Linked DNA regions of Mus musculus: region 1 is reported to be linked to region 2. The links are microRNA targets in miRTarBase. Many come from high-throughput screens and were not tested one by one. Region 2 holds a microRNA gene; the other region holds the end of a gene's coding sequence.

Region 1 (4,395 bases), not on the chromosome of region 2:
TCCTTTTGAGAGGATGGACACACGGAAAGCGGGAGGCGCCTGTGCGTGAAGGGAGGCCAGGGATGCTCCGAGCATCTCCGAGCCTGTTGTCTCCAGGAGGCTACAGCACGACACAGCAGTGGCCTGAGGAACCTAGGAGTGGCAGAAGAGAGGCGACAGCGAGGTGGGGATGGCACACAGAAGTTTCAGGTGGCGGAAAGGAAAGGAATAGCCAACCTGAGCAAGACTGGAGGGGAGAGGACACAGAAAGAAAGGACAATGGAGAAGGAGGTGCCTGCCTGACCTAAGTTTGGCCGCGGAGGCAGCAACAGTAGCGCCGCAAAGCAGATTAGGATCCAGCGCCTCAAGGATCCAGGCCCAGCGTCCAGGCCGCGCAATGACGTAGCCATACATGAATATTGTCCCTAAGGGCAGCAGAGATAGCTGCGGCGTGCTGTCACGTGCCCACATCCCAGTACGCGATGGCGTCTTCGACACATGACTGACCTGGCGCCAAGAGCCTGACCGTGCCTCTTCAGGTCCTTTGAGTTCTGGCATCTGGACCCACTCTCGTCCTTAATATGACTTCAGATCCCTTGACTGGGACTGGGTCTTAGATTCCAGATCTATGACAGCACCCCTAGTGCTCTAAGATCCTGGCGGTGCATCTGGAGCCTAACTGGTCAAAGATCCCTGGGCTGGGATTGGCATCTTGATGCCCATCCAGCCTCAGGGTATACCTTGTTCTCAGCCTGTTGCACAAGGAGTTTCACGGTCACTATTAACAAGGACCGGGAAAGCCCAAGAAAGCAAATAACAATATGGTTAGGAAAAACGGTTTTGAGAACGTAATAGCTGAACTGGATCTAAGACTAAATCAAGATAGGAGCAGGGTGCTGAATAAAGAAGGCAGCTGTCCTCTTCCAAGGACCAGCAATATGACAGGATGTTACCACTGACAAATACTGGCTAGTTTTTGTTGTTGTTGTTGGTTTTGTTTGTTTCTTTTTGTTTTGTTTTGTTGCCTGGCTTTGGGCATAAAGAGAGCTTGTCACAAAAGGATGATCTTTGTGGATTTACTGAGCCTAGCAGAGACTGGGAAGCGATCATCAAAATTCCTCTGTTTCCTTTGTTTATTCCAGGTGTCCAACAGAGCTCTGGGGACCCCATCACCCAGCCTGTTCGTTTACATTTTATTTTTATGTGTATGAGTATTTTATCTGTATGACTGTCTGTGCACCACAGTATGTGCCTGATGCCCACAGAAGCCAGAAGGCGGCATCAGATCCAATAGAGTTGGAGTTAGAAGCCACCATGTGGGTTTGTGTGAATCAAATGTGGGCCCTGTAGAAGATCTTAATCCCTGAGCCAACTCTCCAGGCCCCCAGCCTGGCGTTTAAATGAATCTGAATAAGTAAACGGTGCCAATCGCATATCGAGGCAAGCAAGAGAAGGTTGCCTTCTGCCGCTGTGTGGTTCCCAACGTTAGGCCTCCTCCATACAGCTGGACCAGCAACGCCTGGGAACTTGCTAGAAATCTTCATCCTCAGGCCCTGGCCAAGACTTCCAGAGTTGAAGTTGAAAACTCCCTTAGTGAGACCAATGATATGGATTTGTTTGTTTGTTTGTTTGTTTGTTTAATTTTTTATGACAGGGTCTATGGTGGTTTGAATAGATTTGCCTCCCCCCTCACCCCCATAGATTCAGGTGTTTCAATGTTTGACCATGGAGAGTGGCACTTAGGAGGTGTGGCCTTGTTGGAGGAAATGCATCACTGTGTGGGCGGGCTTTGAGGTCTCCTGTGCTCAAGCTCCGCCCAGGGTGGAATCAGAGCATCCTCCTGGCTGCCTGCCAACTAGAGTCTCTTTCAGCTGCCTGTGGATCAAGATGTAGAACTCACCGTTCCTATAGCACCATGCCTGCCTGCCCACTGCCATGCTTCCCGCCTTGGTGGTAACAGACTAAACCTCTGACGCTGTAAGCCAGCCCCAATTAAATGTTTTCCTTTGTAAGAGTTGCCTTGGTCATAGTGTCTCTTCACAGCAATAAAACCGTAAGACAAGGTCCATTTCTGTGTAGTCTTGGCTGGCTTTGAACTTGTGCTAATCCTCCCACCCCTGCCTCCCAAGTGCTAGGATTACAAATGTGTCCCATCACTCCTGGCAGCAATGTGGATTTTAACAAACTCTCAGCGTATGCTCACACAGGTGAAGGGTGGACCATGAGGCTAAGAGTGGGACTATAAAATGGGGGAGAGCTACCTGTCCACATAGAATAACGCGCTACAGTGAGCAAAATTAAAATTGTTAGTCTACGAAGAGCTGGCGGTTTCTGGAGAGTGGAGGTGGTTTGGGTTTTTGTTGTTGTTTTGACACAGCACTTCCTGTATCCCAGGTTAGCCTCAAACTCCATCTGTAGCAAAGGAACAACTGATTGTCCTCGCCTCCATCTTTCAGATGATGGAGATACAGGCAAACACTACCTCAGCAGGTCAATGTCCAGTGATAATTTTTTTAAAAACATCTTTGGTGATGTATGTGTTCATGACAGAGATGCGTCTGACAGCAGGGTGTGGAGGCACACACCTTTAATCCCAGCACTAATTCCAGGACAGCCAGGGACCCCATAATGATATCCCATCTCAAAAAACAAACAAACAAACAAACAAAACTGGGGGTGGAGGATGGGTTCATCCTTCCTTGGGCAACGGTTGGAACTGAATGCCCACAAAAGCCATAGAGGACAGAGGATGAAACAGAGACCCCAGAAAGACGAAAGTGGGAGAGGGAGATTGGAGGAGACCTGTGAGCAAATCAGTATTCAGTCAGGGATACCAAAACCCAGTGTGAGGTAGAAGAGCTGCATACAGTGTAGTGAATCTTTCTTAAAATCCTCCTGACTTTGGGAACACGGCCTTTGAAAATAAAGTCACATTAATAACCAGAAGAAAGACTTTTTCTCATGAATCAGTTTCATCCCTGCGGGCCCTCCCGCCCCCACCCCCACCCCAGTTCCTGCCTCCCCTGAGCTGCTCCTGGCTGGCTGTAAAAGTAGTGAAGCCCAGCAAAAGTTCCTGCCCAGGCACACAGGGAGCAGGACTCAGCTCTTCTGTCTCTAAGAGGAACTGCGAGTACTTCCCTAGGTAAATGGGGTCCAGTTCTCTAAGCCAAACACCCCAGGTGAGCAGAGCTTCACAACACACAGGACGTTCTCCAAACATTTATTCAGTTTACGTTTGAGATCTCCCCTCTCCAGAACCTCAACGCAACTTGGGATGACCCTGGATGTGACCACTGAGGTACTGAGGAAGGGGGCCAGGCAGGACTGCCTTCTTGTGAAGCCTATGAGGCAGAGGCTATGCATTCCCTGGCAGATTCCCAAGTGGGTACAAGATAATTTCTGCCAGCTCCCAAATACTTAAGTGCCAACCTCATACCTCTGTAGGGAGTTGCCAGTGTTCCCTTCCTCCAACCCTCTCGTTCTCCATCTCTCTCTCTTTTCTCTCTTTTTCTTTTCTTTTTTTTTTTTTTTTTTCTTTTTTGAGATAGGGTTTCTCTGTGTAGCCCTGGCTGTCCTGGAGCTCACTTTTTAGATTTTTAGACTGGCCTCAAACTCAGAAATCCGCCTGCCTCTGCCTCCCGAGAGCTGGGATTACAGGTGTGTGCCACCACACCCGGTTGTTCTCCCTCTCTTTCAGTGGTCACTAAGCTGTGTGATGTAAACAGAGCCAGGTGATATTATCTCTTCTTGGCAGATGTCCCCAAGATCATGGAGTCATGGTTCTCCACCTAGCAGGCAAGCTGGCCCTCTAGTCCAGGTTAGTCCACCAAGTGTGGGTGTATCATGAGGCAAGTAACCAGAACACCAGTCAGAGCACTTTGCAGCCCCCAATCTCCCTGCCACAGTCTACTGTGGCAATAGCTGCTAACTGGAATTTGAAGAAAGGGCAGAAAGACAGAAAGGGAAAATGGAGAAAAGGCACAGTGGGAGACTCAAAACTCTCAGGAAGACAGGGCCTAAGGAGGTCACAGAGCTACCAGGAGGGCCAAGGGAAACACCAGAGACAGGTATAGGACCAAGACTCCCATGGGATCCATACGGGAAGCCTGACTTAAGACATAGCTGACCCACTCATTGTACTCAGCGATGTCTGTGTAAACTGAGAGGACAGGGACTCCATTGCAGTTGATGCCCCAGCTCATGATCCCCACCTGGGTCCACGTGTTGTCAGATTCGCAGACAAGGGGGTTCCCAGAATCTCCCTGGAAAACAAGAGGAAGAAACCAATGGCTGGGATGGAAGAGAGAGCAGACTGCATTGCAAGGTGCTGGGACACTTTCTTGGGCACCCAGAGCCTCTCCCAGGCCTAGCTTCTTTTAATGACTGAGATCTAACAGATGAAAATCTCCTATGAAA
Region 2 (4,395 bases):
TAATTGTTTTGGAAACAGATTTTCATTGCCCTAGAACTTAGTTTAAGCTGGCTATCCAGGGAGCCATACCGGTCCACCCTTGTATACCACCTCAGTTGTAGAATTCCTGATTACCACTGTGTCTGGGGGATTTTTGGTTGGTTGGTTTTGTAAGTTTGTTTTAGGTGGGTTCTGAGGATCCAAGTCAGATCACTGTGCTTGTAGGACAATGATTTTAATTAACAGAACTAGCTTCCCAGCCCCTGGCCATATTTGACAAACATAACAAGATGGTTGTAATGTGAGGCCAGAGTTGAGAACGACTGTGATCAGGTAACTGACCTGGGGCTACTCTTTGCTATGTGGAAAAAGACATTGCTCCTTGCTTACTTGTCTATGGAAACAGAGAGGCAGAGTAACATTTGGGAGAAGTGTTTGGAGACAGGATTAAAATCCTGGAACCCTTGCCTCTGTGGGAAAGATGCTGTTTACTTTGTGTTAAGAGCTCAAACAGTGATCAAAATCCAATCAATATCATAAATAGAAGAAAAGGTCAAGGCTGGACTGGTCATGGGATCACGTAACCACAGCCAGGCAGAAGCTAGCATATGTACTGATTCAAGTTTTTAACTGGCAAAGCCCAGACACTTGGCACCCTAGCCACAGCATGGAGGTTTGCCTGGCTATGTTGCTCTTGCTAAAAAAGGAGAAATGCCATTTTCTCAGCAATTGCACTCCTTGACTCATTAGTATAGTTGGCATGTGGTTATTTGTTAACTTCTCTGAAAATATCCATGAGAAGAGAGAGCCATGGCAGGAGATGTTACTGTTTGCTGACTTTCTGTTTTGTATGTTCCTCTCCAGAGTTAAAGGGACTGTGCCCATCCCCCTGACACCTGGTCCATTTCTCAAGAAGCAGCTGAACGTCTCCTCAAACCCTAGCTAGTGTCTGAGTTCACAAGGTCGGCCATCACAGCTTTGTGGATTTATTCTAGGTCATCCAGAGGACAAACCTTAAGAGCCTGGAGTTTTAATTACAATGTTTTTAGTTTGGATGACTTTGATTGAGAATCCATAAGAAATCTCATCCAGAATGATTTAAAGGATATTTCTACATATGTTAGTCAGGCTTGCCATGGTCTATATAACAAGATGTATTGGAGAAGGCCATTTCCCCCACTGAGCCCATCCATCTTGGCCCACTGGCTCCTTTAACGAAAGAACATCACGGTTGTTGACAGATGAGTGTGAAGCACAGATACCTGGGGCACAGGGAACTTTTTACACCAGGTCTCTTATTAAAAGAACTGTCCTGGTTCCATTGCCAACCTGACTTTCTAACCTGAAGTGTAGATGCAGGCCCATTGATGCTTTTCGTACTTGGTGGACTGAGTCCCAAAGCAAGAAATTCCTTTTGCTTTATTTACAGAATGGTTAATGTTCTCTGTAGTCTTGATAGGTTTTAAAATCACCATGACAACTCCTGTGATAGTATATGAGGATGTTATCAGAACGTCTTAAAAGATCAGGGAAGAGCCAATCTGAATATGAGCTGTGGTCCTGGACTAAACAAAGAGACAGTGAAGTAAGCATCAACATTCATCCCTCTCTATACATCTATACATCTCTATACATCTCTATACATCTGTACATACCTGCACTATTTTCTATACAATATGTGCAATTAAACAACATCCTGCCTCCAATGAACTCTTGTTGTCCTTTCCTACTTTGCTTGGAATATTCTGTGTAAAATGCTTTTCTAGACTCCCTAAGTTGTTTTTACCCCCCACCTCCAAGTGTTACAAACCTTCCTTTCCAAAACAGTGTCATCAGCACACTATTAAGATGCCTCACACATTCTGGCAGTGTGCGCCTGCCACTAAATAGATTGTGAGCTCCTTTTCTATAGTCCATGTGACCAGAAGAGCCAGCAAGATCTTGTTTGGCTGATCTTAACTTAAAAGAGCAGGGGTGTACAGCACAGTCAAGCACAGTGGCTGGTGCCAAGGAGTGCTGTATGTGGCATTTGCTATTCTTTCCAAATGAGTGAATTCTTGATCTCAGTATTGCCAACATTTTGTATAATACTCAGCATGGGCATAGTTGGGGTCGATGTGGTTCATTTCTCTGTTTTAAAAACCATTGCACTGCAGCAAAGATTAGACAGTCTACCTTTAAAAATGCTATTGTTTTCATTTTCATTTTCTCTCCTGCCCTCCCTCCCTCCTTCCTTCCATCCCTGCCCAACCCCTCTCTCTGTGTGTGTGCCTATAAAAGAGCCTGTTACCTGACTTGTCATGCTCTCCCACTCTTTACCTTATGCCTTTAAGACAGGGTCTGTCAGTGAACCTGGAGCTATGCTAGTGACCAGCAAGACCCAAACAGTCTTTCTGTGTCTGTATTCTACAATGTTGAGATTTTAGGTACATGTGCAGCCACACTGAGCTATTTACATGGGTACTGGGATTTGAACTCAGGCCCAATGAACCACTTCCACTTCCCCCTTCCACATCCTCTTTTGTTATTTTTTTGTTTTGTTATTGTTTTGTTTTGTTATTGTTTTGTTTTTTAACATGGCTTCAAGCCAATTGGTGGATCTGAAAGACAACATACAAAGGACAAAACTTATCTCTCAAGGAAATGTATGGATGCAGAAATAGGGAGACAGAGATATTCACTCTCTTTTGTACCGAGTTTGCCAAGGTGAAGGCATAGGAGAAGCACAAATGTGAGACACTTAAAGGGGCTTTAAAGTCTAGGTAAGAGTTTGTGAAGGAAATTCCTAGGAAATGGAGAGTATATTTATGGCAGTTTTCTGAGGATGTAGCTAAAGCTCACTGTTCATTGTAATTAGGTGTGTAGGAGGCTAAAAACCTTTCAAAAGCAGGATTGAGTTCTGCACACCTTCCTTCATCTTTCTCTCAGTCATATACTAGGTTGAGCATCCCCTACCCCAGGAATATCCTCATCCTAAGCCATGCTCCAAAAGATAGCCGGTGTGACTCAGTTACAGATCATGAAGAACAGACCATGTAAATCCTAATACAAAGAGTGTCCTTTGACAGGGAAGTGGAAGGAAATTTGGCTATAGAGAAGCAGTGATTTGACAAGCAGTTCAACTGGGGTAACATAATATAAGACAGAGCAAGGAGCCATAAGCCAAGAAATGCAGGTGGAAGCTGCACTTGGAAGTAAAAGACAGCATGGGATGGATTCTTCCCTCATCTCCAGAAGAACCAGCTATGCAATACCCTGACACCAGCACAGCAAGACAGATGTCATGCTCCTAGTCTGCCAAACTGTTGCAGAATACCCTTGTATATTTTCTAGCCAGAGAGTCATCTGTTACAACAGCAGCAAGAAACTAACATTCTGGGCCACTGAGACCTGAGTTCAGTCTCCAGAGCTCAGGTAAAAATGCTACCTGTGGTTGAGTACATCCCAGCAGTACTACAAGGGAGGTGAGAGGCAGACACAGAATCGCCAAGAAGCTTGAAAGCCAGCTAGCCTGGAGCATACTATATAGCAGAAGCAAGAGCCACCCTCCCTCAAACAAGCTGCAAGGACAGAACTGAGTATTAAAAAAGTCACTGCCATGGATTCATTTTCCCCCATATCTATCTCTTTCTCTCTCTCTCTCTCTCTCTCTCTCTCTCTCTCTCTCTTTCTCTCTCTCTCTCTCTCTCTCTCTCTCTCTCTCTCTCTCTCTCTCTCTCTCTCTCTCTCTCTCTCTCAGCTCTTTCCATAGTGGCTTTCCATGTCTAATTAAACATCTGCCCCAAAAGAAAGTTCGGTTTCTTTGTGGATGTACGTAAGGAAAGACAGGTAACTTTGGGTTGGTTTTTTTTTTGTTTGTTTGTTTTTGTTTTTTTTAGGCAAGATCTCATGCTTCCCAGGCTAGCCTGCAATTATAACTGTAGCTGATCTGTCTCCCCCTTGAAAATGCTGGAATTATACACATATGCCACTATACTCAGTTTTCTTTTTTGGTTTGGAATGCTTGCTTCAGATCTTTGTGATTCATATACAAGTACTCCATGGAAGATACTGTTACCTGCTTCCTCATTTTCCCTAGTGCCTGCTGGGTCCAGGTCCTGCCTGTTGTACCTCAATTGTTGTACCTGACAATTGATTGACAAACGATAAATGCTTGCACTGTTATATTTGAAGGCTCAGAATCCTGACTAGTACAATAATCTATTTTTAAAGAGAGAAATTATAGCTTTATAATAGATGTAGCCACCACAGTACTCTAAGTGACAATTTTCACCTCTGGGTGACACCCTTCGTGCTGCACTTCATTCAGTTTTGTTCTCAGAGCAAAACAATAGCTGCCACTGTCTTCAGATGGTCACTCTGCTGCCATTAATTTGTCCTTACGATTTGGTTTTCCAAACAGGATGGCCTAAAATA

The links. The annotated mature microRNA mmu-miR-28b reads AGGAGCUCACAAUCUAUUUAG and lies in region 2 at 1,862-1,882, opposite strand. An mRNA with a match to its seed (bases 2 to 7 or 8) in the 3' UTR can be bound and repressed. Matches are read on the target gene's strand: a 7mer-m8 pairs with bases 2 to 8, a 7mer-A1 pairs with bases 2 to 7 and ends in A, and an 8mer does both.
Region 1: miRTarBase lists Prss43 as a target of mmu-miR-28b. Seed matches in the 3' UTR shown: 8mer at 3,555-3,562.

What each region holds. Positions count from the first base shown.
Region 1 is chr9:110,830,628-110,835,022 of GRCm38, reverse strand. Prss43 (protease, serine 43) reads right to left here. Exons shown (of 6, transcript NM_199471.1): 6 at 3,516-4,241. The coding sequence ends at 4,005. Prss45 (protease, serine 45) reads right to left here and starts at 435. Exons shown (of 6, transcript NM_153172.1): 1 at 284-435. The coding sequence starts at 389.
Region 2 is chr8:73,014,010-73,018,404 of GRCm38, reverse strand. Mir28b (microRNA 28b) reads right to left here and starts at 1,893; the gene lies at 1,814-1,893. The region is part of intron 6 of Large1 (LARGE xylosyl- and glucuronyltransferase 1); the gene reads left to right.